Schizosaccharomyces pombe: one gene and its partners. The gene in region 1 interacts genetically with each later gene. Each region holds a gene or a part of one and is shown on either strand. Other genes may lie near its edges. The genes, in order: nop16, ftm6, SPOM_SPAC9G1.07 and ria1.

Region 1 (7,135 bases):
TTTTTACAGTCTTCATTCCGTATAATCGTGCTTAACTTGGTGTTTTAATAATGGTAACTCTTTTATTAACATTTTAGCTATCTTATACAAATTAAAACTCAATCAAAGGTAAAGAGCACTAAACAGCATTCTTCGATTGTGTCAAGGTATCGTATGCGCTGCTTCTGTATTAGCATAGTAGATATAGATTTCATTACGAAGACTGTTGGTTAATTAATCAGTGAAGTCTACTGTCGCGCATTATCTTGAGTTGCAATTATGCTTCCGTAAATGAAATTGATTTTTCTTGTGTTCATTAACTAACAGCCAGTGTTGTCACCATTCCCACTGTGGGTTTTAACGTCGAAACAGTCACTTACAAAAACATCAAGTTTAACGTTTGGGTATATTTATAATCAATCTTGGGTCGAGCATGTTCTAACGTTGATTTGTTTGTAGGATGTTGGAGGTCAAGATAAAATACGACCTTTATGGCGGCATTATTTTACTGGAACCAAAGGATTAATTTTTGTTGTTGACTCTGCCGACAGCAATCGTATATCAGAAGCTCGTCAAGAATTGCATCGCATTATTTCAGATCGTGAAATGCGGGACTGTCTTCTTTTGGTGTTGGCTAATAAACAGGATTTGCCTGGAGGTAAGGTTGCGAATCCGAATAACTTATGCTAACACTATGGTAGCTCTTTCACCTGCTCAAATTACCGATGTTTTGCAGCTAGACAAATTGAAGGATCGTTTATGGAACGTTCAGCCAACATGTGCTCTTACAGGAGACGGGCTGTTGGAGGGTCTGGCTTGGCTAAGTCAAAACGCAAAGTTAAAATAATTTGCTTCTTTGATTTGTTAATACATGGTGTTTATTTCGTTCGTTATCCCAAGAATTGCAAATAATTACATCGATCAGCTTCCGTTCTATCCCTTTATCGTTGCTTAATTAAATCTGTACAGTCTTTACTATTCATTTTCTTTCTTTAGCATATAACTTTACTATTGCCAATCGTTTCCCTATTCCTACTATCACTTTATAATGTGCTTCATTCGGCCAAATACATTTGGATAACAGCCATTTTTGTCAATAAAATATTTCTTAATTTAATACAGAAAAGTGATCAATAACCAGATAATATAATTATCGCACACTTCTTATCCAACAAAATCTAAAACCAGTTATTTTAAGCGAAGTCTCATGATATGTATCCAAAAACATCTAGACAAACTTGATTTAATGTAGACAAGTTAAAGTTCTTTTACGGCGTTTATAAATGCCTTGATCTTTTCAAGATCTTGTTTCCCGTCAGTCTCCACCCCACTCGATACATCGACTACAGCTGGGCGGCTAACAGATATAGCATCTTGTACATTTTTAGGTGTTAGACCACCAGCTAAGACATAAGATACTGGAATGAAAGATGCAGCTTCCCAGTCTACTTTCTTGCCTAAACCTCCTGACTCTCCACCGACATATGCATCAATCAAAGGTACAATATGATAGTTGGGCCTTGAAATTTCAGAAGAATTTAGCGGAAACACCTTAATAACAGGTCTATCGAGCATATGTATCCATTCGAAAGGTTCTTGTCCATGAAGCTGGACAATATCCAAGTTCACTTCTGCTATTATAGAACGAATGTATTCTAATGGTTGATTTTGGAACACACCGACTAACAAAGGGTGCGGAGAGGAAGCAAGATTTTCATACTGATGATCAAACCAACTTTGACCAGTCACTGCTTTCTTTGGGGAAATGTGTTTTCTATTGGTTGTATGAACAAAATGTGAAATTTCCTTGGCCACGGACAAGTCCACTTTTCGTTTGCTCTTTTCCACAAAAATTAACCCTATCAAATCGCCTCCTGATTCTACAATGGTTTTAGCAGCTAACAATGAACGAGTACCACATACCTTCACTAGGGGTGTTGATGTTTTTTTACCATTAGATATCTCGCTAGAAGAAAGATTAAGTAACTCTCGTGCAAAAGCGGCAGGATCCGAAGCTCTCATAAGAGATTCACCAACAAGAACTGCTGATACACCTTGACTACTATAATGGGCAACATCAGCAGGACTACTAATTCCACTGAGAGCTGCAAGAATAACATCATCTGGGACCATTTCGGCTAATTTTGATGTAGTGGAAAGGTCTACTTCAAAACTATGCAAATTCCTGTTATTAACGCCGATAACTTTAGCACCAAGTTCTATAGCAGTCTTCATTTCCTCAGCACAGTTAACCTCTACTAACGGTTCCATGCCCAAAGATTTAGAAAATTTATAGAGGGACTCTAATTGTTCACGGCTTAACATCGCAACGATTAGCAATACACTATCAGCACCATTCAAACGAGCCTCCATAATTTGATAAGGGTCAATAATGAAATCCTTTCTCAAAATTGCAGGCCGATTAGCTACATGCTCAACAGCTTTTCGCGCAACAAACAAATCATTCAATGAGCCTTTGAACCATTTTGGTTCTGTTAACACAGATATGACTGAGGCGCCAACCTGAGCATAAGTAAGAGCTTGGATAGCAGCATTTGCGTCTAACTTAATGTCACCTTTAGAAGGGGAAGCACGTTTGACTTCAGCCATTAAAGCTGGTTTAGATTGCTTTAATCTCTCATAAAAATTTATACATGGAGGTGCTATGTTAAGGTTCAAATATGTTTGCAAATCACCCACAGAAAGACCAGGCTTTCTTTTACTTTCAGCAATGTCAATAAGTCTCTGCGCGTGGATTTTCTCAAGGATAGATTCTTGTTTGCGAATTTTAGTTGAAGAAACAGAATTCGAATTTTCACGCATAGCCGCGTTAAATGCGTTATTTTTTGTAGGCATAACAATGCCATTTTCTTCCCAGGTTCCAGCAGTGAGATTCAAAAAATTCTGAATATACTCTTTGCCATACTCACTAAGGATACTTTCAGGATGGTATTGAACACCCTCAATAGCATACTTTTTATGGCGTGCACCCATTATTACACCATTCTCGGTCCAGCTTGTAACGTCCAAACAATCAGGAAGTGATGAAATTTTTCCAGCAAGAGAATGATATCTTGTTACAGAAATATTTTGAGGTATTCCTTGGTAAAATCCGAGACCGTCGTGATTTATTTTAGAAACTTTTCCATGTATGATTTCACCAGCGGAATCAACTTTACCACCCATTGTCTCAAAAATACACTGAAGTCCCATACACACACCAAGTATAGGAATCTTTCCAGCAAATCTCGAAATAGCCTCGTTACAAATACCACCATCACGCGCAGGATGTCCAGGCCCAGGTGAGAGAACTAGTTTTAAAGGATTAAGTTTTTCTAATTCATCGACAGTGATTTCATCATTGCGAAAAACCATAATAGGATATCGTTTTTCCAGATTAGAAAGATATTGAACAACGTTCCAGGTGAAACTGTCATAATTATCTATCATAACAATTGGTCTTTCAGCAACTTCTTTAACTGCATTTTCTGAGGCGTCTCCTTTGACGCTTTCACCAACGTCAACTTTTTCAGACATTTTCAGCTTGTTATAATTGAGACGTGCTAACGTTAATTTTCCAAAAACTCAAAACCAAAAATGCTGAATGAAAAAGTAGCCGATGATGGCAAATGACAATTTCGACTTTTGAATGATCGGGAAAGATAGTATAGAAGCGATGTTTCTTGCTAATGTATTTTGCGAACTGCAACGAAAAATATATTTGGTTTTAAGACATTGCAACTAAGAAATCATCGCATAATGAACGTTAGCAAATAACGATAACAATCGTTGTACTATTGTACTAGAATTAGCAGGTAAAGAAGAAGTTTGACGAGGAGAAAACGAAATTTTTTTTATACTGGGGTTAGGGAATAACGAAATCATAAAAATAATCTTTAATTAGGCATAAAAAAATAATTAAAAAATTGGTGTTTCAATTGTCGGTTCATTTAAAACTGTTAATATAATAAAGTTGTAAACCAAATGACTAAACAGTGATTTTAAAAGTATCCTATAGCTGTTGTTTACTCTGGTAATTCGACACGTAAAATACATGATTTCTCGACTTCAACAATTCTTGGGAATTTTTAGAAATTTACAGTTAGTGCTAGATATTGGAATGCCACTAAAATTAGTGTATTCGTTGAGGAAGATCAATTTATAAATTTTGTTTCAAGATTTTATTGAAATCTCTATGAGAATATTATATCGTTTCACAATTCATACAGCTTTATAATGTAGACAAAAAAAAGATGAGGGTACTTAAATTTTATACAATACCAAAAGGATTGATGATAAATGTGATAACTGTCAACGTCTATTAATTTGAGAAATATAAATTAAATGGACAACAGTCATTGTTAAACTAGGTCACAGAACTATCTTATTGTGTTTCGTTGAAATATTATGTAGACATACTGCACGTAGTCTACATTCACCTCCACTTAAACTCACGAACAACCAAATTTTTTTGATTGCTTACCAATTTCCATTTCCCCCCATTTATCTCTAAATAGATAAGATGGCAAACCCTAGACAAAGGAATAAGCAAAGATCTGGAAAGCCTCGTTTAACCAGGCGTAATGCTAACAAAAAGGCGAAGGCCAAAATTTACGGAAATTTTGTGATTCAACAAAATTGGGATAAACATGCAACCTTAAGGCAGAAGTAAGTTAATAAGTATTGCTTTATTTGTTTTATACAAATGAAAATTGAGGAAAAAGTTTTGCGCTCCTTCTTGGTCTTATGTTCTTTTCTTTCTTATAGAATTGCTATTAACAAATAAATAGTTATGCGAGGTTGGGTCTTTTAGCTACTCCTAATTATGTTACGGGAGGTGTTGAGAAGCTTTATCCTGATCCTAAACGTGAAAATGAGGATCGTGAGCTTACCTCAGAGGAATTGGATGAATTGAAAAAATCTTTACCACCTGGTCAAGCAATTGTTAGAAGAGATGATGACGGAAATATTATTGAGATTATTCACGGAGAGGCAAAAACACTTGATGATGTTTTAGACAAAGAAATTAGCATTGCACCGGCTAAAACGGAGGTTGTTCGTCAACTAGAAGAAGAAGCTGTAAAAAAAGCAGCTCGACAGTCTAACAAAATGCTTCCTTTAAGTGCATTTGAACATGCATATATTCAAAGACTTATAAATAAGTACGGAACTGAAGATTTTGAAAGTATGGCCAAAGACGTTAAATTAAATTCTAAATTATTTAACGGATCTAAGCTCAAAAATTTGTATATTCGCATGAAGGCTACAAAGTAAACATCAATGGTGATATACGGACGGTAAAATGGTGATTGTGTTCTAGGTATATTTAAATTAATAAATTTTTATTTCAATACTATTAATTCTATTAGAAAGCAAATATTGAGACGACTAATTTGTATGAAACAATAATTACACAGTATGTATTTCTTCGTGATCCAATTTTGTATTATACTATCGAAAAAGTAGTGAATGAAAACATGTATTTAAAAGAAATTGCTTAAATGGATATCAGCTAACTATACAATTATAAATGAGCGTTAGACAATTCGAGGACAAATGAGAGAAATAAAAACCGGATTATGCTATGTGAATGCAATTGAACACTAAAACGAAATTTCGGGGAGAAATCGATTCCAATGATAAAAATGATGTTCTAAGGGAGCAAAAATTGCCAACTTAAGATATAATACACTTGTTATGTTTTATAAGAAACTTTTTAGATGTCTTTTTGGGAACCGAAACCTTTGTAACTTTTGTTTGCGAAACAGGGGGCGCAGAAGTAACAGGGGTAGATGAGACAGCTGGTGCGTGCGGTGGAGAAGTTTCAGAGGCTGTAACAGGTATTTCTTTTATAACGTCTTGATTTGGGTATTGTGATGAAGTTATGTTTTCTGGTTCGGGCTCCTGAATCTGATTCTCTAGAAGTGCCAACCGCTCAATTGCTTCACTATGTCCTGCTTTAGCAGCCTCATTATACCAGTATGTTGCCTGTTCTGTATTACCTCTTGTATCGAATAAATAACCCATCAGGAATTGAGCATTAGCATTACCAGCCATAGAGGCTCTTTCAGCATGCATAAAGGCTAAATCCTCATCAACGGGTATACCATCCGAGCCGTTCAGGTACCATTTTGCAACCGCGAGATCAGCTTCTGTTTCCCCCCTTTTAGCGGCAGCACTGTAATAGAACAAAGAATATCGAGGAACGACAGGGCAGCCGTATTTTCCGAACTCATAGACAGCTCCCATTCGTAATTGAGCCGATGAATGACCCAAAAAAGCAGCTTTCGCAAAACTTTTAAGTGCAGTTGCTTCATCTATGGGAACTCTAATATTTTCAGACCCTAAATCTACTAATCCAGGATGTTCATGAAGATTCACCAAAGCATGACTATACAGTCCGGATGGAACATCGGCATCAGCTGTATCTGCGCTTCGTTCGAGAAGTTCTAGTCCACTAGCGTGCCTGTGTGCATATTCTCCAACACCGTCCAACATCCCTTCCAAAATTAAAAGCGATAGTCTCCAACAGCATGCACTGTCATTCTCTGAAACACCCTTTTCAAAATATTCGACGGCTTCTTCTAGGTTACCTTGATCTTCCAATAACACTCCTAATCTGTACAAGCTTCGTGTATAGCCTAGATTAGCAGAAGAAGAGTATAAGTCCCAGGCCCGCTGGATATCAGACTCTACATCAAAGGCACCTGTCTCGTAGACATAGGCATCGAAATACATTGCTTTAGCATTCTCTAACTCTGAAAATTCTCGAATTTTATAGAGCGCGTTTTCGCACATTGATTCCAAATAATTAATTTCATGGAGGTTTTCGCTTTCATATGTTTGAAGATATGGTAGATGAGATTGGGTAAATCGAAGGACGTATTCTGCCCACTCCAATGCTTCGTCAATGTCTTGAGAATGTACAAGGTCTTCATTGGCGCGAATCCAATCAAGTTGCTCTTCATCGGATACTGGTAAGGGAAAAGGTAAATCCGCTACTACCTGCTTTTGCAATGGGGATCCGTTATTCGGTTTAGGGTTGTGATTAGAAAAATGTGCCTCTTCATGAGGGAATACAACGTCCGCGGCTTCATTAGATGTACGTAAATATCCTGGGGCAACACATGGTGTAGAATGAGAGCGAGTTGCTGAA
Region 2 (6,717 bases), 4.4 Mb from region 1:
ATAAAAGGCTAATCATTCCTGATCTGCTTTTCCCTTGAGCAAGCATCATTTACCAACTTTTTTAAAGATGCGTCTTCATAAAACACTAGCATTGCTGTTATGCAACCTAGTTCTCCATACTCTAGTTAAAGGTGAAGTAGACGCCAAAGCAGTATCTATTACTACATAAAAGGAAAACTCTACCTTGTCAAACCATAATGGACTGCCTAAAGAAGCCAAAAAGCTCACTCTTAAGTGCAGTTGGTTCATTGTGGAGGAATCTAACGGTGCCAGAATACATGCTAATTTTTTTGCACAAAGCTTCGATAAAAGAGAAATTGCTTTGTCTTTTTTTGAAGCAAATGAATGGCAAAATATAATTGGCTGGAATGATCAAGTTGAGGAGATGATTGACTTTGTAAAATCAAGAGACACGGTGATCCAAAAATCTTTTTTTGAGGAATTTAATTCCCAAAACCGAGAGATGGGATCATTTGCATATTCTGGTAACTCGGAATCGGTATGGACGGGCGAAAATATTACAAGTATATGGAAAACTATTTTGATTAATGAAACGGGTTCTTACTGCGTAGCTGCGAGACCAATGACAATGGATGGAGCTGAATTTAATTTAGACCTTATGGGGTATTCGGTTTCAGAAGATCAAATTAATAATGACGAAATTGGCATTTGGAACTATATTTCTGTAGCTGAAATGGGAGGAGTACTATTATTTTTGAGCTATTGGATATGGACTTGTTTACATTTCAGCAAGATTATATTTCCTGCTCAAAAGGTAATCTGCCTTTATATTTTTCTTTTTGCGTTAAATCAGACTCTACAAGAATGCATTGAGGAGTATGTTTTTTCTTCCGAATGTATAAAATACAGACAATTTTATTCGGTGTATGAAATAATTGATTTTCTTCGGACAAATTTTTATCGATTATTTGTGATTTACTGTGCATTGGGTTTCGGCATAACTAGAACTGTTCCTAAATATCTTATGATAAAAGGAATTAGTATTGTCATTGCTTTATGTTCTGTATACTGGATTTCTTTATATAAAGACGTATATGTAGTATCAGAGATTTTTGACATGATCCAGTATGAGGTATCTCCTGCAATTTGGGTGTATTCTATTTGTCATTTATTGAAACAATGCACGTCTGTAACAACTTACGAAAATGCTTCAAAAGCCAGATTTTTTAGAAGAATGCTAAATGCATTTATCTTTATATTCTGTGCATCTCCAATGTTGCATTACCTGTCGAATATTATATTTGGAAACTTTGATTACAGACTGTCGGTGATCATTGGTGATCTTTTCACTTTTATGGAGAAAATTGCTTTTCCATGTTACATAATGTTTCCCACCCATAATGAAGCACTTGCCTACAATCGAAATGTAGCTGAAGAGGCTCAAGAGAAAATGATTTGACAAAAACCATGGTTTACTTGATTCACCTTTAAAGGGGTTACCGGGATTATTTTATTTATTATTTGTTTATCAATGGATTAATATCCAGTTATTTTAATCTCACTTTTTTACACAGAAATTGTGTAGTAAGTTCATTCTTATTTAATATACCACCTATTTATTTTTTACAAATGAATATTTTTTTACTGGAACGTTTTAAATACACATAACCTTTGAGTCGATGTGAAATAATGTTTTGTTCAAACTTAAAAGTTGCGAATCTGACATATAGACAAAAAAAAAATAAAAAGAAAAAACTGGTTACCTTCATAAACATATTTTGCTAATTTATTGAATTTAATTATTTTCAACTTGCTTTCCCATTTTCCCAACAATTTTTTTATCTATAATATATATTTTACAAAATTAATATAGTACATCGCATGGTTTTCTTTAAAACGACATAAACGTATAATAATAAACGGGGATTCAAAGTAATAAATCGAATCCAAATCAACTTTCAAATACATCCATTTCATCTACTTTACCCTTATATTCCCCTTCATATCCCCAACAAAAAACAGGAATTTGCGAAAGTAGTAAATGGTAAAAGTGAATAAATAGAATCAAGGTTAAAAGCTTACTTGTATGCATAAGAAGATAACTCCCTCCTCTTTACTTTTGCTTAAAAACAGATTCTGAGATTCGGGACTAGCATCGGTAATATAAGTTTTTCTTTCATACTGTTGAGTACTAGCATCAGAACCCTTAATGGTAGGAAGATCATCATCATGACTACGCCTTTGTTCAATCGAGTAAACATTTGCTGGTTCGTGCCAGTCACACTGAGAACAACAAAGTACCTATTATTAAAAATGTTAGCAAGCGATCGCTAACAAGTTGAAAAGTAAACACCTCCAACTATTCCATGGAAAGCATGTAACAATGAAGATCAATGAATGGCTATTAGCTTAACAAACTTGTAAACTCAAAACAGACTAACAACGTTTGTCAGGCACTAAGAGCAATAATGGAACAGACTTCATATCAAACGCTTTCTTGAATGTTCTTACCTTATTCGTATAAACCGGAAGAACAGGCACAATGAGAACCGTTACGGTTTTCAACTGACGACATACTCGGACTAAAAACAAAATGTTATGTTAACATTAATAAGACAAGTTTAAAAAAAAAAAGAAAGAGCCAATTGCTTTCGAAACTACTCAACTTGTTTATTTCTCGTACCAGTCTTCTTTGAACTAAAAAAAAAAAAAAAGCATTAGCAAAATGTGTTGTCAAACGGATAAAAAGAGAACAGGAAGAAGATTGCTGGAAACAATTTTAAAACAGCGAATAAAAAAAAAAGAAAAAATAATAATAATAATAAACAAAATACGAGTCGCTAATTTTTGAAACTAATCGCTTCCAACAACTGTTTCATTATAACTTCACCATTTTAATATTGTCCCCAAACAGCATGATTTAATTCTCTTTCACTAATTTCATACCACACAGGACACGTAAGTAAAACATCCTTATAATCGTCAGTGGATATCCACATATCTCGTAAATGTAATGGCATTGTTAAAAAAAATAAACACTCAAGTGAATAGAATTATGAAGAATTCGAGTCTAGTTCAAAATATTTGTTTTGACAGAGTCCCTCTATTTATACCAAGACTAAGCCTCACAGTGAAATATTGTCTAGCAGTAAAATTGCTGATTTATTTATTATATTGTTGGTACATTTACTCGGAAGTACCATCGGCTTCATCTAAATTCCGATCCTTTACATTTGGATGCGTCGTAGTATATCATAACAAATTTTTTCCTCGTTTCATTAGAACTCACTCCATTAACTCCATTAGAACGTTTTCTAAATTTCAAGTCATTATACTTTTCTCTATTGAGAAAGTCACTAGGTCAGAAAGCAAGAATCATTCTTACTCGAAAACCGATATTAGTGATCTGCACCAGGGCTATAATAATCCACCATCAAGATTCATATCACAATAACAATTCCATAGTATCTTGCTATATACGTGTAATGAGTATTCGATACTGGCTTGATTGCTATTTCTCCTTTGCTTGTAATCGTAAAATTGACTTGAAGATCTAAACCTTCTAATGCAATCATTGGAATTCTGCCTAACCTGATCAAATATGGCTTGATCACCGTTAAGTTAAAAGCAGAAGCTATGCCAATCAGTATGATTGTAACTTACAAAAAAATATAGCACAACGACATACAACATTATGGTACAATAAAGAAGACTTGATATATCAAGAACGAGGTTCAGTTTGTGCTCCGTTTATATTATTGTATTTCTATATATGACATTACTTGATGCAACCGCTTAAATATGTACTTTTGTGTAGTTATACTCGCAAGTACAGTAGCATTTTTAAAGTAGCGGTGATGTTGACGAATGGTTTGTTTCAAATCCATCCATTTCAATTTCAATTGTAAATTTCTCTTTTTCAATTATTAATCAAGTAAGTTGAAGTGTATCAGCACAATAAATTCTGACTATTACTACTCTTAAAATAAAACTCAAGCGAAACTAATTTTTAATAGCAAGTCATATTCTTAGTTTGATATGCTATCCGCTTTGGTTTTGCATTGTTATGACTTTGTATAACCTAATAAGGTGACGAAAAATCAGTTCGTTTATATTTTTGATGAGAAGAATTCACTATTATTACACAGAAAAACATTTACTTCTTATTAGATACCTTCAATATAATATATTTTTTAAATGTAATAGCGACGACACTACCCATAATTTACAATACATTGTATGGTAAACAACTGAGTAGTTGATACACCCGATTTTCATTGAGTCATACACTTTGCGCTTACTATCACTTTATTTGATTAAATGCATAATTTACAAGCCATTCCAATATTTCGCGCACTTTTCGGACATAGTAATAAAAGCCGAGGTAGTTTCGGCGACTTGCAACATGTTTTTTTATCGTCAGCTCGGAAATAGATTTCCTGACAGAGAAAGAAGGATATAAAAATAAACATGATGGGGCAATAAATAAATATTTCACCATTTTTTATATATCATTAAGAACAATGAAGAAATATATCTCTGAAGTAAAAAATAGTTTGGGAAAATATGTATGAAGATCCCGCAACACCATTTGATAATGAGAAACCAGACGAATAGATCATGAATCTTGTACAACTGGGGAAATTACATGAGAATGTATTAGATGCCGGTTGTGAACCAAATAGAAATGCTAGATATTTAGCCAGTCTTGGATATAAAGTCGTGGGTATTGATATTTCCGAAAGGGCTATTTCTAAAGCAATCGATAAAACATCTAGTGAAAAAAGTAATGTCAACTTTAATCAACGCGATTTTTCAAGATTAAATGAATTCAAGGGGCATTTCGACACTGTGATTGACATTGGTTGTTTTCATTCAATTCTAAATAGTGATCATGAGCCATACACAGCTTCGTTAAGTCATATATGTCACTCTGATAGCTCCGTTTTCCTAAGAGCGTTTAGCGAAACAAACAAATCACGTTATAGACGGTGGCAGGGCCATAAAAGGTATTCCCTCGCTTTAAAAAGAAACAATGTCAAAAAGCTTTCTTTATAAACTATTGGAAGATTGAAGACATTAAAGAAGAAAAGTCCTGCTTCATCTTCCCCTAACTAGAAAAATAAATGTTTACACATGGTTTGCCAAAATGCGTTGTAAATAGTTCATGTACATAAAATATATAAAGATGAATGGACATATACATCAATTTTAAGAACCCATTAACAAAAAAAAATTCAGACACTCAATTAGCTAGCTAACAACTGTTCTTTACGAAGAGTTGAAAGAAACTTACAACCAATGGAAACCTTAGAAATATCAAGGCTATGATGCACTAGCGAAAATCCATTAAACTGACCAGAGCTTTTAACTTTGATAGATTGGCTATTCTTATTAGAAATCGATTGTTAACATTCATGAATTCAGCATTATATTAATGGTTAGAAAGTTATGGATCGAATATAAATGCCAAAGAAAGCAGGTGTGAGGTGGTCATTTGCTGAATCAGCAGGATGGATCCATGATGGATGGGATCGTGCAAGTCTAAAGAATTCTTCTGTAGTGAGTGTTCGTTGAGGCGATCTATAGGACAAAATAGCAGAATTGTATAAAAGAACTTGGAAAAAAGTCTATTAAAATAAATTGAGTATACTTTCCATGCCTGTAATTTATAACTTGCTATCGTGCTTACTTAGAATGCTCCGCGGTGAAGCGTGCACCGCGGAAAACTTATTGCATGTATTTTCCGCGTAACTGAGATTATATACATAAGTTAAGTATTTTGTGCATTAATTTTATATTTTAACCGGACCATACAAAAGTAACCAAAAAAGAAAATTGCTTTTAATTTAGAACCTCAAGCCTACTACTTTCAAATAACTTTTGGTGATTTTTTGTTGTATAGGAATACTATAGTGGAAACGACCTTTAGTATTGCTTAATCAATCTACGTAATTACTTGAATAATCGCTAGAAGATTTTCATTTTTTTTTTCAAACAAATTTCTGTGTTTTATATGAAAGAAGAGTCAATTTTAAAAAAATGCGATTCAAGTTCCATAAAACACGTGCCATCAACCCCTCTAGAGACAAACTGTCCAGACAAATATAACCCTAAAACATGGCCTATTCGTTTAAAGGTACGAAATGTCATTGTTATTTCATCAATGACTTTTTTGAATCAATACGGTGATAGTGTCTTTGCGCCAAGTATTTCCAATATTGCAGAGCAATTTCATGCTTCGCGAACCTTGGTCACTCTAGGAGCCACACTTTATACATTAGGGATATTATTTGGAAATTTAATATTTGCTCCACTTAGTGAACAGTTTGGAAGAAGACCTATATATTTAATTGGTTATAGCGTATTTGCACTTCTTCAGATTCCCATTGCTCTGTCAGTAAATTTGGCAATGTTTTTAGTATTTCGTTTTTTTTCTGGACTTTTCGGATCCGTTGGTTTATCAAATGGATCTGGCTCACTGGCTGATCTGTTTGAAAAAAAAGATCGAGGAAAATATATGGTGATTTATTTTACCGTTCTCTCGATTGGACCAGGAATTGCGCCTATAATTTCTGGGTTTATTAGCCAAAGTTCAATTGGTTGGCAATGGGAGTTTTGGATTCTATTAATTTTATCAGGGTTCAATTTATTTTGGGCCTTTTTATTACTAAAGGAAACATATCCCCCTGTTCTCAATCGCAAGAAATTTGAAAAATACGGCGAAATAGGAGAAAATGAACCAGTAGCGTTGCG
Region 3 (7,667 bases), on another chromosome or scaffold:
TATTGCGATGAAAAATGCTCACTCATTGGGAGCTACCCAAGTTGAATGGGTTTCTGAAAATGAGCTTTTAAGTACTGGAAGTGATGCTGCAATCAAAGTATGGTCAGTGACCTTTTGAATTCGTAGTACAATTCTCATTTTTTGCAAGATTTTAATAAAAAAATTTTTTTTGTAAGATACTGTTAGCTTTTCTGATGCCATATCTAATAGTTAAAACTTTCTCATTATTATAATCATTAAAATTAAGAAACAAAGGGAATACAGTTAAGCTTGGACATCACGATTCCAATAGTAATAGATATATATTAAAAACATTAAATGAATAATGACTTAGTTGTAAACATCAACCTTCAATATTACACAGAACAGACATTATTTATAGGAAAATTTATAGGATAAAGTCGCAAGATTTGAAATTATTTAAACCGCCTGCCAGGTTGCATAGACTACCCATCTTCCTATCTTTTCAGCCAAAATTAAAGCTCTGTATTCTCCTGTTTCATTAATTGTTAAGGAAAGGCTGAAAAAAATAACGCCATTTCCAGATCGTTCTTCTCTTAAACGCACAATGTTTCCCGTCGGGGTCTGTATTGCTAATCTGGTATTGCTAATGGAGGTAGATGGCTGGCAGGCATAGGCCGAAACATTAAATTTGTATTCAACACCAGAATGCAATGTACCACATTGGGGGGAATTAATATACAAATCAACCGATGGACAATGTGGTACAGGATGACGAGTCACAAACTCTAGAGCTTTATTTTTGCCATGATGTACAAATGGAAGAGACATTGCCATAGGATGAGGTGCAGTCCTCACGGGACTAGAGACTCCTAAGCGACCAGCGTATATCCTTAGCACCGCAGCACGATTATTAGCAGGCATAACAGCTTTAACTCTCATAACACGAATATCCGGAGTTTCCCAGAAAGCCTGTGTTAACGTGTATTTATAACACTGTGAAACATCAGCAGTAGGTGCTAAAGCAGATAGAGCATCAACTTCAGCAACGCATTCAATATCCTTTGGAGCTAAAAATTCGATTTGTAAAACTTCAAGGTCATTTAAATGTAGAATACTGGTATTGAATTTACGCAACTTCAATCCTAAAGTAAAATACACAGACGATACCCAAGGTAATGCCATTACTATAGGCATAGACAAATCTGGCATTATAAACTGCTGGTCCGGATTCTCAGGTACGTGAGTAAATATACACTCGTTTGGTTTCATTAAAAAATAAAAATCATTGGAGCTGCTGGATTTCAAGGCCTGCTGTGGGTGTGTTGGACTGGCAAAACTAGCATCAATTAGACGAACCTCATTGTCAAATGTAACAACATTCCAAGCATGATTTATATTAATATCTCTGGTATAATAGATGTCATCTGGTGATTTAAGATATCCTTCGATAACCTCACACCATAAATCTAGTGCTTGCAACATTTCTTTAACCAACAGTGCAACTTCAAAAGGAGTTCCCTGTCCTTCGGAAATTACTTGTGTACTTGTGCGTAATTCATCATTGTCCAAAGTTTGATTAGTGAACGTAATACGTTCAGAAATATATATAAAGACGGCTCTCATTTGAGCGAGCGCAGTCGTTTGTCCTGGAGCTAAATAATTTTTTGCAAGTACAGCAGGACTGACCTGGACACGTTGTGGAATAATTGACCTTATTTGTTTATCAATAGCACTAAAATTCATGTTATGAATATTAGTACCTACAGAGAACTGCACTGGCTCGCCGTCGGCTAAAACATTCCCAATACATTCACTGAGATCCTTCAATGGTTCATATACCGGCATCGAAAGCTTATTGAAGATTTCTTCCCGTTTCGCCGCAAACTCGGCTTTCGTGTATGTCTTTGTACGTTTCAAATCATCTTTTACTGATTTTAATGTATGAGGCGATGCAGGACGAACACCTTTTTGAGGAACATTGTGCGCCGGATAACTTACCGGAGGAGTTGGTTGGAGACTGGGCTTACGTTTTGACGATCCACGACGCAAAAGCTTTTTGAAAGTTTTTTTTAAAAATCCACCACCTTTTCTAAACGATTGAGCAGTTGAGGGTCGCTCCGTTGTTTGCGGTCTTGGCTTTATAACATTCGACGCGGTGGTCCGAACTTGAGTTAGTGGTATCAATGTTGAAACGGGTCTGGGAATAGGTGCGGGAGCACTCTGAAAACGCCTGTGCTGCGGAAAATAATCAGACGGAGATAAAACTGATGAAGCCATGGAAGGTTTTCTAGAAATATCTCTTGAAGACTTCATAGGTGATTCTCCTGGTTGCAAACTTGTTCTTGGTTTTGACGAATTATCTGTTGAATCATCCAGCTTGGATCGAGAAGTCATACTTGTGGACCCATGTGCAGGAGGGACAGGAATGAAGTCCGTTTCTTTGCTAGTTGTAGTGCTTTTCGTAAGTCTTAAAAGAGGGGAATTCGCTCGACTAAAACTTTTTTTGCCCATTGCATTTAACGATTGAAGAACATTTTCCATAGCACTTCTTAAAGGGGAAGGTGTAGATCTACTTAAATCTTGGGCATCAATCTGAGAGTCGTTATCGGCTGTATTGTCCCATCTGGAAGAGACATCTAAGTTGGTACGAGACATTGAAGATGGCGGTCTAGATACGCTTTTCTTAAGTGACAGACTTGATCCTAGCGAATTGAGCATGGGGTGACTTTTTTGGTGTTTTAGTGAGTCACTCTCTCGGGTTGGTTTATTCAAAGCATTTGAGCTTCCAACGAGATCAGGAGTTAGACCTTGATCAGATGAAGTTATTGGGGTGTCTATAGAGCTTTTTTGAGGAGAAGAATATCTAAAGCTAGAAGCGCTAGTTCTTGACATAGAACTGCCAGGTCGTACCGTGGGAATATCTAAACAGTGAACAAAGTTGCTAGGAAATATCCCTTGTGTATTAGTATTGATATGTCTGCCAATCCACCATTTTCCATCACCTATGCTTAAGCATTCTATTAAATCTCCTTCTGTAAATTTTAAATCACCTGAAAACACATTAATATATATTTTTTAAACTTTACATCAATAATTGCGACGTTACTTAACAGCATCTTTAAATGTTACGAACCTTCACGTTCACCTGGCCATGCATACAGAGCACGTACCATGCATGGTAGTTGTTTAGGAATGGACATTCCTGAAGGCTTAAAGGAATGAAATTATAGTCTTTGGTAGTTAATATAAAAAACGAGCGGAGCGGAAGTTCCGTAACGTGATGTGAGTTGTGTATGAATGTGAAGATAAGATTCTTATTTAAGCGAAGTACACTAATAACTTTGTTTTTTTTTTAGAGCTCAATTAACCGAGTACATCATAATTTTTCTAATAACGCGACTTATATACTTAGCGCACAATTAAAAAATGGAAATATTTTCAATAATACTCGATAAAATGCAGATCGGTAATAAATTCAACCATACTAGAATTTCATTTTAGGAAAATTAAAAAAAGAAAGATATTTGGCTACCATGAAACATTCTTTAACGATAAAGAGTGCGATGTTAGATTCATTTCATGTAGATTATAATTGATTTAGTGAGAAAATTTACTAAAATTGTTAGAAGTCCTAGAAGGGTTCATTTTAACTTGAAATATGTGGTACATTTGCACTTCTGTAATTTTTTTAAAGAGCTTTTTGCACAAGACATAATATTCAAATGATTTGAAACCAGCATCCATATTTATGCGCACTTTAAGCCATATTATTTAGATGAAATAATCTAGGTTTTAATTTACCAAATGTAATTTTCAAAAATTTGCACGATGCTTCAGTCCATATGAGATTCCTCTTTAATAAAGCTAGCAACTTTCGCCAGAGTATTAGATTAATTGTTTACTAGCTTAAAATTTGTTAAAAAACTCTGTCCTATTTTAAAATGATTACTTATAAAATTTATTCTTCTTCCGGAAATTTAATTGAGTTTATTTTATTTTTAATTTCACACTAAATACGTTGAACGGATTTAAGTTGCCTACTTGCGTTGCACACGATGTGGTGGCTTAAGTCGCTTACCCTAGCCGAACCGCTTTCAACTCATCTTGAGCATTTATACTAATACTCTAAAAAGGTTCCTTTTATAAAAGAAGTATAGTTAAGGCTCTTTTTGTTTTCTTTTTAACCCGAAGTTGATGGCACCTACGTTTTTTTTATCCACTCATATATTATTAAATTGAGAATCTACAACTTAAAGAACTGGAATGTGATTTATATGGATGATTTGCTGAACTCTGTTAGTTTTTCGAACGCCTCTAATCCTCATAATGCATGGGGTAGTGAAAATATATCCAACTCGAATTCAGCAATTCCCTCAATTACTAACGATGTCAGTTTTTCAATGGAGGCATCAGTCTGGAAAGAAAATGCTCTCAATCTTGACACATTTAATTTGAAAGATATTAATGAAAAGTTGGATTACACATTTGGCGTTGTCAAGCCTCCTAAACGGATTTCATTGGCATCCAAAGATTATATAGGTATTACAGCTACCTCGGAAACCAATTTTAGACAATTAATCCGCTTAGGATACAATGAGAAAAGTTTAGGAGAACTAAAACAAGGAACCATTAGTCGTTTACTTAAAGAACATATGACTTTATGGAACCAAGAACGGTCTAATGTAAATCGAAAAAGCAATGTGCTTTTTTGTTGGTCAACAGCTTATCAGAAGCAGAAAAGGAAAACAGCAAGCTATACCAATTCACCTGTCACACCGCCCATCAATGACAAAAATATTTTGTTACCGGAACAGTCTCCTTTATCTAATTTTTCTACGACCAAGATTTCCAGTATAAATGTTCCTTCAGATATACTTGATTTTTCTAATTTATCATCGAATGAAATTCCCAAGGATTATTCTTCTTCTACGGCTCTTTTAAATAATACAGTTGCTGTTAAACAGGATCACAAATTATCTGCAAATACTTTCCTTTCTTCCCCAGTCAAATTGATTGAGAGGGAAAGCAACAGTTGTTCTACAATTTCAATAAATAAAGAGGATGAAGTTGTTCCAAAATCACCACTAAGTTTGGATCGTAAAAAAGTTGATGAAGTCGAAGAACATTCATCAATCGCTAAACTTGACTCTGAAGAAAAAATTAGAGAAACGAAGAAAAAAAATTCATCAACGTCTCTTTCCCCGGATCCAACCTCTGATAATTTTGAATGGGGTTCATGGGTCAGTTCCCAAGATACCTCGAAAAACTCATCGAATTTAGCTTCTGCTTCCGTTGATGATGTAAGTGAAGAGTCTCAAGTTGAGCCAAATACTCTAATTTTTCAGAATTTTAGTTCACCTTCTACTTCATTGTCAGCTCCTAAAGACACTCCGGCTGTTATTCAATCGATCAATACTTCGTTTCTTAATAATGAGAGAGCAGGGCGTGGAAATATAAAAACAGTTGACCAAAATCAACTAATTAATAGAATTGTTGATAAGCTTCCGGATCTTAGTTATCTTGTCGATTGAAAATCTTAATGATCAAAAGGTAAACGTACTAATTTTAATCACATAATGGCTAGAGGAGTTATTGTTATATCTATGCCCAAATGAATATTAACTTTATTGTGAACAAATGTTAACTTAAATAAATCAATTCTAAAAAGATGTAAGAGGAATTGCATCTTCAAACAACGTGTTGTGAATATACAAATGTTTACTAATAGATTGAACGAATGTATACCATTCTCTAGGGGATGAAGGCATGTCAGTTTTATCATCACGATTCCAACATGTGAGGTGAAATGGTTTAAATGTTTTACGTAATCGCGATTCTTCATATTCGCTGCATGAACAATGCAATCGCTTTTCAAACAAATACACTGGAACATGAAATGGATGATTGGGCAAAGTTATGGATAGCGGTAGAGTACCTCCAAAGGAAAATATCCCTCCAAGCTGGTATTTAGTAGACAATTTATAACAACTATATAAAGCAACCATAGCTCCTTGACCAAACCCGAAAAAAAATATTCTAGAAGATAATATACCGTAAGAGAGTAGATTGCCAATTAAATTTGAAATCATCGTAAAACTTTTAGAGAAATCGGCTTCAGATTGCAGTTCCCCGTTTTGATCAAAATGGACATCCTCTCCCCACATCCAATTGCCTCCAGGATTTTCAAAATCTAATGGTAATCGATATGGTCCACGTAAGGAAATATAACTAGTGTTGGGCAACGGAACGTTCTTTGCCATATTTGCAAAACTCTTGTGAGAATCTCCAAGTCCATGCATTAAAATAACTACATTGTGAACCTTGTCTTTCCCTTCAATAATCTCTGCGCATGCATTTGAAGGTAGAACACTGTTTAAAGAAGACATTAGATAAAAGAAATACTAAACCCCGAGGTCAACTATTGAGATTAAACTTCTTGCCATTAACTTGGTTCTGTGTCAACAGTTTGTTCCTGAGCCATACGTATTTCCCGAATTATTTGAGCTATTGCTTCTGGGTGTACGTTGTTTTCACAAAGACTGATGCAGAGTGAAAGCGTTGTTTTATCAAGTTCAGTTCCAAGCAATGTTCCTATTTCGTATAAAACTTCTATTGTCTCTTTGGTAGATTCAGACATAAAACTCGATACTTTATAATAAACTAGTCTAATTATATATACTTCGTAACAAGTTGGTAATGTTAAGTTTACTGGAATAGGCGTCTCGGAGTAGCTCATTATAATCCTCTAAGTAATAAACAAAGTACTTCGTGGTGCATCTAGCTTGTGCTTGTAAAACGAAACCGAAAGTAGGCTCAACCTCAGATTTGAGCAGTCAAAATATTGATGAAATGTATCCTCTCAATGCTAATTCTTATACTCTGCTACGGAAATTAGGATCAGGTTCATTTGGGGTTGTCTGGAAAGCACGTGAAAATGTGTCTGGCGACATTATCGCTATTAAACAGGTAAGACTAATTAATTTTTACTCTTCTTTAGTATCACAAAAAACTTACAGTTGCAGATTGATTTAGAAACAGGTATTGACGACATTACCGACATCGAACAAGAGGTATTTATGTTATCGAATTGCAACAGTTCCAATGTAATTCAGTATTACGGTTGTTTTGTTGACGGATACACATTATGGATTTTGATGGAGCATATGGATGGAGGATCAGTTTCGGGACTTTTGAAAATGGGAAGGTTGAATGAACAAGTAATTTCAATCATTCTTCGAGAGGTCCTTTATGGGCTAAATTATCTTCATGGACAAAACAAAATCCACAGAGATATCAAAGCCGCCAATATACTACTATCTTCCTCTACCGGAAACGTAAAGCTTGCTGACTTTGGAGTTGCCGCTCAACTTTCGAACGCTGCTTCGCGTAGACACACGTTTGTTGGAACGCCATTTTGGATGGCACCGGAAGTAATACAACAAACAAGTTATGGTTTAGCTGCTGACATTTGGTCTCTTGGAATTACGGCTATTGAAATGGCTAACGGAATTCCGCCCCGCGCTACAATGCATCCAATGCGTGTCATCTTTGAAATTCCTCAATCCGAGCCTCCAAAGCTAGATGATCATTTCAGTCCAACATTCCGTGATTTTGTGTCCTGCTGCTTAGATCTCAATCCTAATATGCGATGGTCAGCTAAAGAACTCCTTCAACACCCATTCATCAAAAGCGCAGGAACTGTG
Region 4 (9,102 bases), on another chromosome or scaffold:
ATTGAGTTGAAAACGAAATAATTTTTAACTTAGATATTGTTTTTTTTTTTTAAATTATTGTTTGGCTTCTTATTTTTTTTATTGCATTTTATTTTATTTTGGGTTACTTTTTTTTTTTTTTAAGTTGAAAATTAAACAAATTAGCCAAAAAAAAAAGAAATCGAATATGCTGAATTGAGCTATAGGGTTGGATCCTATTAATTAGCAAAAATTCCTATAGTTTAAAAAAAAAAAAAAAAAAAAACAACGAAAAAAAAAGAGAAAAAAAGAGAAAAAATATAAAACATATTTCTACTTCACTTTGTACAATCCATATTGTCTAGTCAAGTAGTTGCAAGCCTGTTCTGTATAGCGAATGTCAACTACGCAGTTTATAATATTTAACGATACTTAGGATTGCAGTGAGTTTTCCTCGTGATCAATTATATTGCAATAAACAGGTATTTTAAGTAGCAGCTGGGTATATGTATTCTGTTATGTAGGTCTATTGTTAGTTATCACTAATGTAGCTTATAACCGAACTGAGGAACGAAGTTCAGTTGATTTCAGTTTATAGTATTTGAAAAAGTCTTTAATTGTAACTGATATTTATATTATCATAAAAGGTACTGTAGCTGTCTTTTTAACCTACCATGTAAAGTAGATAGAGCAAATAGAACATTACAACATGTGACATATAGTGATACTCGGACACATTGTAACATAGCTTAGTTTCAGCTGACAAAACAAAAAAAATACATACTACACTATTTATCAGTAAACTAATATTACATAGTAAAAGCATCTCGTTAAATGTTTAAGGAGGTTTAAAAAACACATTAAACCACATACTACTGCGTTTCTCCACAGTATCCACGGAGCGTCCCAGTATATCCGAGTTTTTATTAGAAGAGCGATTTAAGTAGTTGCTTTAAGAAGATACACTCTCCTATCCTAAAAAGGTTTACTCATAATTATTGGTGGGTACCTCTTTAAGTGGTTGAACTTTCTGCTATACGTCGTTTTTTCTATCTGTTGTTAGGTTGGAATCGCGTAAACAAATTAAAAAAAGCAACTTCGAAAATCTATCACTGGGCACTTTTGGACTGGGATTGCTAGTACGTGTACTTGTATTTTTTATTCTTATTTATTTCTTTTTCAGGACCCACATCACAGTACAAAATTAGTCACTTCAAATTAATTTGCTCGTAATATTCCCAGGTATTCATTTACTGTCTTTTTTTTTGGGTATCTTGTTTCATTTTCAACTTCATTCAATCTTCAAAAAAATGGAATTTCCTATCGATGATGAGGAATTGCTAGATGAGCGAAATAAACTTCTCCAAATTTGCAATATGGACGAGCAAACAATGTTCTACAAGTGGGAGTCCTGGTGTTTGCAACGAGGAAATACACCAAAACTCGACCTTGACACATTCAAGGCCTTTGCTAAAGACATGAAATTTCAAATGGAGAGGCAGGTAAAAGCCACACTTAAACAGAATCCTGAAAGAAAATCGATAAAGCAAATCCCGGGAATGAATATTGATAGCATGTGCGTACATTAGCAAATGGTTTTAACTAACAAATATCTAGACTAGGTCTACCAGTGAAGACCACCGCATCAGGCGACTCGTTGATGCAAGAGTCTAAACCATCTACCGAAACTTTCGAATTGAATTCCAGTGACGCTGGAAGGGTTTTGGAAGTTTTAAATAAAGAATTAAAAATTGTAACTTCAAAACCTTCAGCTCCATCCAAGCTGGTTATCGTAGCGAATTTTGATCTCAAGGCATTTAATTACAGGATCATGTATCAAAAGCTTTATGATTCTTCTGAAGTTCTGGATGATCGCATTGAGCTTTTTAGTGCATTAACTTGCAGAAAATACAACATAAGTGATGAAGATTTGGCAAATCCTAGCGAACTTACTCAAGAACCCGTTGTAGTTGTAGGACGAATTGTTGTCGAAAGTACCAATTTAGGTGGAAGACTCAACCAAAATAGCATTTTACTTGAAAGTTCAAGACGTCTAGGCGCTGGTGTTCGAGTTCGTTTGAAGGTGGATGATCTACCAAGTTACTCAATATTTCCTGGTCAAATTGTTTCAGTTAAAGGATCCAATCCTAGCGGTAACATGTTTATCGCCAAGGAAATCCTTCCTATACCTCCTTTGCCGTTCCCAAGTTCATCTAAACAGGAGCACGCTACCTTTGTTGCTAATACAAATAATCAGCCAATTTCTATATATATTGCATCTGGACCTTGGTCTCTCCGTGATGATCTCTCTTTTTCCCCTTTAAAATCAATGATTTCATATGTAAATAAAAATCCTGTTGACTTGGTTATTCTATGTGGTCCATTCTTGGATATTAATCATATACTAATACGTACCGGAAACATTACAGGAACGTCTGCGACTTCTTTGGAAGAGTTGTTTAAAGAGCGTGTCACACCCATATTAAGCCAGCTAACTTGTCCTTGTATTTTAATTCCTCACATCAATGATGCTGCTTCAGATCATCCTGCATGGCCACAGGATGCATTTAATCGGGTGGCCTTAGGTCTTCCATCTGTATGTTAAGTTGTATAATAATTTTTATTGACCAATCCATAGAACTTCAAATGCTTCCCGAATCCTTGCATGTTTTCCATTAATGATGTCGTCTTTGGTGTGTCAACCAACGATATACTCCTTCACACATCTAGAGAAGAGTTATTTCGTCTACCTTCTCATGGTAACTTATTTGCACGTTTGGTTTCTCACGTACTTCACCAAAGGCATTTTTATCCCTTATTCCCTGGAGGTTCTCTTGAAAAGTGCAACCCTTCAAACTTAGATATCGCACATCTTAAACTTGGTGAATTCCTAAATACTATGCCGGACATACTAATTTTACCAAGTGATTTACGTTATTTCGTAAAGGTATGTTAATTTTCTACTTTGTTTTAACTAATGTTATAGAACGTTGAAAACGTTGTATCATTGAATCCTGGTAAAGCGACCAAAGGGATTAATTTGGGCACTTTTGCAAAATTAACTATCGCGCCATTAGAGCTCGGGGATAATGGTTCTTCTAATCATTATTCACATCGTGTATGGCTTCGAACCAAGGCAGAAATTTTAAAACTATGATAATTATACTCTCTTTTTCTGCGGAATTTATTGAAAATATAAAAAATTCAGCGTTAAATATCATTGGTTATCATTATTTATGTAGATGTCTACCATAGACCGTTAGAATTAATTAACTTTTCAGCTTTCATTTTCTATCTATCGCTATTTTGGTTTTCTTCAAATTTTGTTTGCAAAATTACTCATATGTTTATGTTGTTAATTTAACCATTTTCCTCAAATGTCTAAGACAATCTCTGATATATCTCAAATCGCTACTCGCGAACTTTTAGTCGTTGTTTTATAGTTGAATGAGTATTCCTTTTATACTGTAGTATTTGAATGTTCAACATTTTTTCGATTTGGACTCTAGTCTTGGTGTTTCACATCTCAACCTACTTAGTCACTACAGTTGACCTCCAACATACATAGGGGAAGTAGTGCAAATGCCTGTTATTCCTCCAGAAAAGCTTGTGTCCTTACAAAAAAATCAGGAAAATATTCGTAATTTTACATTACTTGCTCATGTAGATCATGGAAAGGTATGAATTTTGCAATTTTAAACTTTTTTGAATAGTTGCTAATGATTAATTAAAGACAACCCTTGCAGACAGTTTACTAGCTTCGAATGGAATCATATCTAGCAAACTTGCTGGTACTGTTCGTTTTCTTGATTTTCGCGAAGATGAAATTACGAGAGGTATTACTATGAAGTCTAGCGCCATTTCATTGTTTTTTAAAGTTATAAGCCAAAATGATGAAAAAAGAGTTGAAAAAGATTACCTGATTAATCTTATCGATTCTCCTGGTCATGTTGATTTCAGTTCTGAAGTATCTTCGGCCTCAAGGCTTTGCGATGGTGCATTTGTTTTAGTAGACGCAGTTGAGGGTGTTTGTAGTCAAACAATTACTGTCCTTAGACAAGCATGGATAGACCGTATAAAGGTGATTTTAGTCATTAACAAAATGGATCGTTTGATTACTGAACTGAAACTGTCTCCTATTGAAGCTCATTATCATTTGCTTCGACTTGTTGAACAAGTAAATGCTGTCATTGGCACCTTTTATACTGGTGAGCTTATGCAATTAGCTGATAACGACGAAGTCATCAGTGATGAAGGTATATATTTCGCACCTGAACAGGGAAACGTTGTGTTTGCTAGTGCATACGATGGCTGGGCATTTTGTTTGGACCAATTTTCAGAATTTTACGAAAAAAAGCTTGGATTAAAACAAAAAGCACTTACAAAATGTCTCTGGGGTGATTATTATCTAGACCCTAAAACTAAAAGAGTTCTTCAGCCCAAACATCTTCAAGGCCGACGGTTAAAACCAATGTTTGTACAATTTGTTCTCGAAAACCTCTGGGCTGTTTATGAATCAGCTGTGAGCAATAGGAACCTTGAAAACATTGAGAAAATCATTAAGGCATTAAACATTAAAGTTCTTCCCCGTGACATCAAATCCAAAGACCCTAGAAATTTGCTACTTGCGATTTTTCAACAGTGGTTGCCACTATCAACTGCAATTTTGTTAACAGCGATTAGGGAAATTCCTTCTCCTATTAACGCCCAAGCGAATCGAGCTAGGAAAGTTTTGAGTTCAACTCCTCATTACGAAATGATAGATCCAGATATTACACTGGCTATGGAAAGTTGTGACGCTAGTAAGGAACAGCCTGTTTTGGTATACATAAGTAAAATGGTAGCTTTTTCTGAAAGAGATCTTCCTAATCATCGTCGCAAACAACTTAGTGCTGAGGAGATGAAATTGATACGTTCAAAATTATCTGAATCAATTGAGAGCGGCATAAATACCATTTCTATTGAGGAAAACGTTTCTTCTACCAACTCTGACAATTTAGAAGGTAGCACAACTGACATGGACGATGATAAGGACATTTTAATTGGCTTTGCTAGGATATACAGTGGCACAATTTCAGTTGGACAGGAAGTATATGTTTATGGTCCAAAATATGATCCAGTCAATCCTGAAAAACATATTACCAAGGTAACGGTTGAGTCATTATATTTAATGATGGGACAGGAGCTAGTTTATTTAGAGACAGTTCCCGCTGGTAACGTTTTCGCAATCGGTGGCCTTGCCGGAACGGTTTTGAGAACAGCAACACTATGCTCATCTCCAAATGGTCCTAATTTAGTGGGCGTAACTCAGCAAATGGAGCCCATTGTGCGGGTCGCTTTAGAGCCTGTTCGTCCATTTGAGATGAACAAGTTAGTGACTGGCCTTGACATGCTTAATCAAGCCGATCCATGTGTTCAAATAGCCGTTGAAGAAAATGGAGAGCATGTAATTATGTGTGCCGGAGAGATTCATTTGGAAAGATGTTTAAAAGACCTTAGGGAACGGTTTGCAAAAATTGAAATACAAGCATCTCAGCCACTTGTGCCATATCGGGAAACTACCATAGCTACACCCGACTTATTAGCAAAAAATAAAGAACTGAGTATTGGCTTTGTCACTGCAACGTTACCAGTTGGCGGAGTTACGATTGGAATTACAGTAACACCTCTTTCTGGGTCTGTCGTAGATTTTCTGCTGAAGCACTCTAAAACAATTGAAAATGTTAGCAGCAATTTTTCAAAGAAAAATAGAAACGTTGTTGTCTCGGAATCTTTAACAAAAAGTATGGAGGAAGTGTTGACTCCTGAGAAGTTTTATGAAAGGCTTTCCAAGCTTTTAGAGGAAGAGAACTCTGACTTAGGCGAGCTGAAAAATCATTTGGATAGGTAGGTTATACTAGTGTTCTATTGGTTGATTACTAACAATACTAGTATCATTGCGTTTGGCCCCAAACGAGTGGGTCCTAATATACTTTTTGACAAAACCAAGAAGATGAGAGATTTTCGACGACAAAGCGATGAAACAAAATTAATACCCTCAGACCTTTCTGAATATGTAGTTACTGCATTTCAACTAATAACGCACCAGGGACCATTGTGTGCTGAACCCGTTCAAGGCATTTGTGTGTCAATCGATCAGTTTGACATATCTGATGACTCGGAAGATAGTAAGTTACTTACCATCAATAATCCCCAAATCCCCGGTCAAGTTATTTCGGTAGTGAAAGAGTCTATTAGACATGGATTTTTAGGTTGGTCACCGAGACTTATGCTAGCCATGTATTCTTGCGATGTTCAGGCCACATCTGAAGTCTTGGGTAGGGTATATGGTGTTGTTTCGAAGCGACGAGGACGAGTAATTGATGAAGAAATGAAGGAAGGGACTCCATTTTTTATTGTAAAAGCCTTGATTCCAGTTGTTGAATCCTTTGGATTCGCTGTAGAAATTTTGAAAAGGACATCTGGTGCTGCCTATCCTCAATTAATCTTCCATGGTTTTGAGATGCTAGACGAGAATCCCTTTTGGGTTCCAACTACTGAGGAGGAATTGGAAGATTTAGGCGAGTTAGCCGATCGCGAAAATATTGCTAAGCGCTATATGCTGAACGTTCGAAAAAGGAAAGGCTTATTGGTAGAGCAAAAGATTGTTGAAAAGGCAGAGAAGCAGAGGACACTGAAGCATTAAAGATAGTACTTGATTCCAATTTCTTTAGGAAAACGAAAAGATTGTAATTTGATGACAATGACCTGGTTAGATGGAGGTAATGTTTTTTTTTTTTTTTTTGTTACATTGTTGAGGTAGCTGTGATTTTGAGTTAAGTGTTTCATGAACTATGGGACTAAGATTAGAAGTCTATAAGATGAATAGTGTAAAACGCACATGCAAGATTCTTTAGGCTTCTTTTTGTTATGTTTTAAATTGTTAATACAAATTCAAATTTCCAAAAAATACCGATGTTGTGGGATATGCATAATACAAATAATGATATACTCTACTGCGTAATCGCTAGAAGGTGATAGATTACAGACGCGACGCGCCAAAACACAAACACATCTTTGTACTAATTCAAATTCTAGTATTTTGAAAACTATTCGCCTTAATGTTTTTTGACGGATGGAAAATGCAAAAGATTTTATAGGAGAAACAATAAAGGAGAATGGATTACTTACCATTGAAGATGATGGTAGCAGTAGTTCAGATGAAGAAGCTACTTTAAAACGACGATTGGCAGGCCCTTCTGTTCTCAAGTCAGGACAGGAAAATGTTAATCAAAAAAAGATTAACGAGATAATTTACGAAGCTTCCAAAGGAAGTAAGTTTTTTGAAGCCGAACAAAAACGAGACCGAGAACTTCGTTTAAGAATAGAAAAGGTTCAAGTTGAGGTAGAAAAATACCAATCAAAATTAAGGTTTGATAAAGCGTTTCAAAGAGAGTGGACCATTAGACAAGAAAGTGTGGATACTACTGTTGAGGATTTTAGGGCTAAACGAGATTTGACCCAAATAATTGTTCATGTTGATTGTGATGCGTTTTATGCATCAATAGAGGAACTTAAGAATCCAAAACTTAAGTCTTTACCAATGGCAGTCGGGAAGAGTGTTTTGTGTAAGTATTCGAATCTGACTGAAACTAATGCTGAATAAGGTACTGCTAATTATGTGGCCAGAAAGTTTGGAGTTCGATCAGCGATGCCAGAATTTATTGCTAGAAAGATTTGTCCTGATCTAGTTGTAATTCCGTTAAATCTTTCTGAATATGCAATAAAATCTAAAGAAATTCAGAATGTGCTTGCTCAGTATGATTCGAATTTGTGTCCTGCAAGCATTGATGAATTTTATATGAACTTGACTTCACATTTACGTCTCCAAGAGCTTGCATTTACTGTAGAAAACATAACGATGGTGGTTGAGAAAATCAGGAAACAAGTGCATGAAGAAACAGGAGTTACAGTCAGTTGTGGTATTGCAGCAAACAAGTTGTTAGCCAAAATTGCAAGCAATAAGAGAAAACCAAATAATCAGTTTTTTATCCCATTTGACGAGATTGGGATTTCAAAATTCATGAATGACTTGCCTGTTAGAGAGGTAAGCAGTCTTTCTATATCTGGTTAAGCATTCTTTAACATTACAGGTTTCTGGTATTGGTAGAGTTTTAGAGCAGCAATTACTTGGTTTGGAAATTAAGACGTGTGGGGATATTCAAAGAAATTTGGTGATTTTATCTTATATCTTTTTACCTAAAAGTTTCCAAAACTTGTTGAGATGTAGCTATGGATTTGGAACTACAATTTTAGACGAATACGGTGAGAGCAAACGAAAAACAATTGGGTCTGAAGCTACATTTTCCAGCAATCTTAGTTCTCCGTCAATAATCGAGTACAAGCTCAGACTTCTTGTACAAAATGTATCTGAAAATTTACAAAAGCGCGGATTAGTCACAAACTCGATCGCTATAAAGTATAAAACAAGCGAATTTCAAGTTCATACCAAGCAAAAGAGCATAGGTCAATTCATTCATTCAGAATCTGATTTATTGAAACCAGCTTTGCAATTGTTGCGTCAATCTTACCCTATGACTATTCGTTTATTAGGAGTCAGAGCAACAAAGCTGGTTAGTAAATCGCGTTGTTTGGCCATGCAACTTGTAAGTCAAGCAAATATACTGCTAGCAATATGCTAATTATTACTAGAAATTCCAAAGCCAGAATACCGTTCCTTGTCCCGTTTGCCAGAAAAATATTGAAAACGAATTAGGTATACTGAACCAACATGTCGACCTTTGCTTAAATGTCGAAACAGTTAAATCCTTGATCAATACCGATCATACTGCAAATCCTACAATCAAAAAAAGAAAATCAAACACATTAGACACATATTTCTTGGAATAAAATTTATTAATCTTGACCTTAAAGCAACATTAAATAAGTTTTGGATTGCGAATCATTGCGCAACTAGCTTATGGTAAAAGTATTTGACAGTTTGTATAGACCAAGTAAAACTTTTAGAGAAAGAATGTCAAAGACAACTATTTTTAGATAAAGTAACCATGCTATTTTACAAAATAACATTGCGGTACTGAAAAATATTACATAAATGTCAACGTCAATTGTAAAGTCATCGTCAAACTCAAAGATTGTAAGGAT

What was found.
Region 2: mutations in nop16 (region 1) and ftm6 together harm fitness more than expected from each alone (negative genetic interaction), as found in Schizosaccharomyces pombe (one large-scale study listed by BioGRID).
Region 3: mutations in nop16 (region 1) and SPOM_SPAC9G1.07 together harm fitness more than expected from each alone (negative genetic interaction), as found in Schizosaccharomyces pombe (one large-scale study listed by BioGRID).
Region 4: mutations in nop16 (region 1) and ria1 together harm fitness more than expected from each alone (negative genetic interaction), as found in Schizosaccharomyces pombe (one large-scale study listed by BioGRID).

What each region holds. Positions count from the first base shown.
Region 1 is NC_003423.3:4,375,985-4,383,119, forward strand, and holds nop16 (ribosome biogenesis protein Nop16), read left to right. Parts: upstream 1-4,432; 5' UTR 4,433-4,501; coding exon 4,502-4,647; intron 4,648-4,769; coding exon 4,770-5,253; 3' UTR 5,254-5,339; downstream 5,340-7,135. Other genes in the region: ADP-ribosylation factor-like protein Arf6, read left to right, coding at 78-108, 311-383, 439-637, 681-826; trp1 (anthranilate synthase component II), read right to left, coding at 1,237-3,516; chr4 (SEL1/TPR repeat protein1, 3-beta-glucan synthase regulatory factor Chf3/Chr4), read right to left, coding at 5,656-7,135. UniProt on the Schizosaccharomyces pombe protein: Involved in the biogenesis of the 60S ribosomal subunit.
Region 2 is NC_003423.3:7,595-14,311, forward strand, and holds ftm6 (transmembrane helix domain-containing protein), read left to right. Parts: upstream 1-2,974; coding exon 2,975-3,415; 3' UTR 3,416-3,757; downstream 3,758-6,717. Other genes in the region: ftm5 (transmembrane helix domain-containing protein), read left to right, coding at 386-1,420; SPOM_SPBC1348.04 (methyltransferase), read left to right, coding at 4,582-5,019; SPOM_SPBC1348.05 (transporter), read left to right, coding at 5,978-6,717.
Region 3 is NC_003424.3:1,978,944-1,986,610, forward strand, and holds SPOM_SPAC9G1.07 (Schizosaccharomyces specific protein), read left to right. Parts: upstream 1-4,049; 5' UTR 4,050-4,238; coding exon 4,239-5,264; exon of another isoform or gene 5,265-5,309; coding exon 5,310-5,495; 3' UTR 5,496-5,599; downstream 5,600-7,667. Other genes in the region: actin cortical patch component Aip1, read left to right, coding at 1-118; cytokinesis protein Cyk3, read right to left, coding at 421-3,014, 3,098-3,164; SPOM_SPAC9G1.08C (phospholipase), read right to left, coding at 5,625-6,350; putative mitotic spindle organizing protein Mzt1, read right to left, coding at 6,407-6,601; PAK-like GC kinase Sid1, read left to right, coding at 6,814-6,930, 6,987-7,667.
Region 4 is NC_003421.2:286,372-295,473, forward strand, and holds ria1 (GTPase Ria1), read left to right. Parts: upstream 1-3,508; 5' UTR 3,509-3,540; coding exon 3,541-3,636; exon of another isoform or gene 3,637-3,691; coding exon 3,692-5,844; exon of another isoform or gene 5,845-5,889; coding exon 5,890-6,643; 3' UTR 6,644-6,859; downstream 6,860-9,102. Other genes in the region: spb70 (DNA polymerase alpha B-subunit), read left to right, coding at 1,269-1,534, 1,576-2,554, 2,597-2,905, 2,945-3,115; kpa1 (DinB-like DNA repair polymerase kappa), read left to right, coding at 7,073-7,565, 7,605-8,044, 8,091-8,603, 8,650-8,847. UniProt on the Schizosaccharomyces pombe protein: GTPase involved in the biogenesis of the 60S ribosomal subunit and translational activation of ribosomes.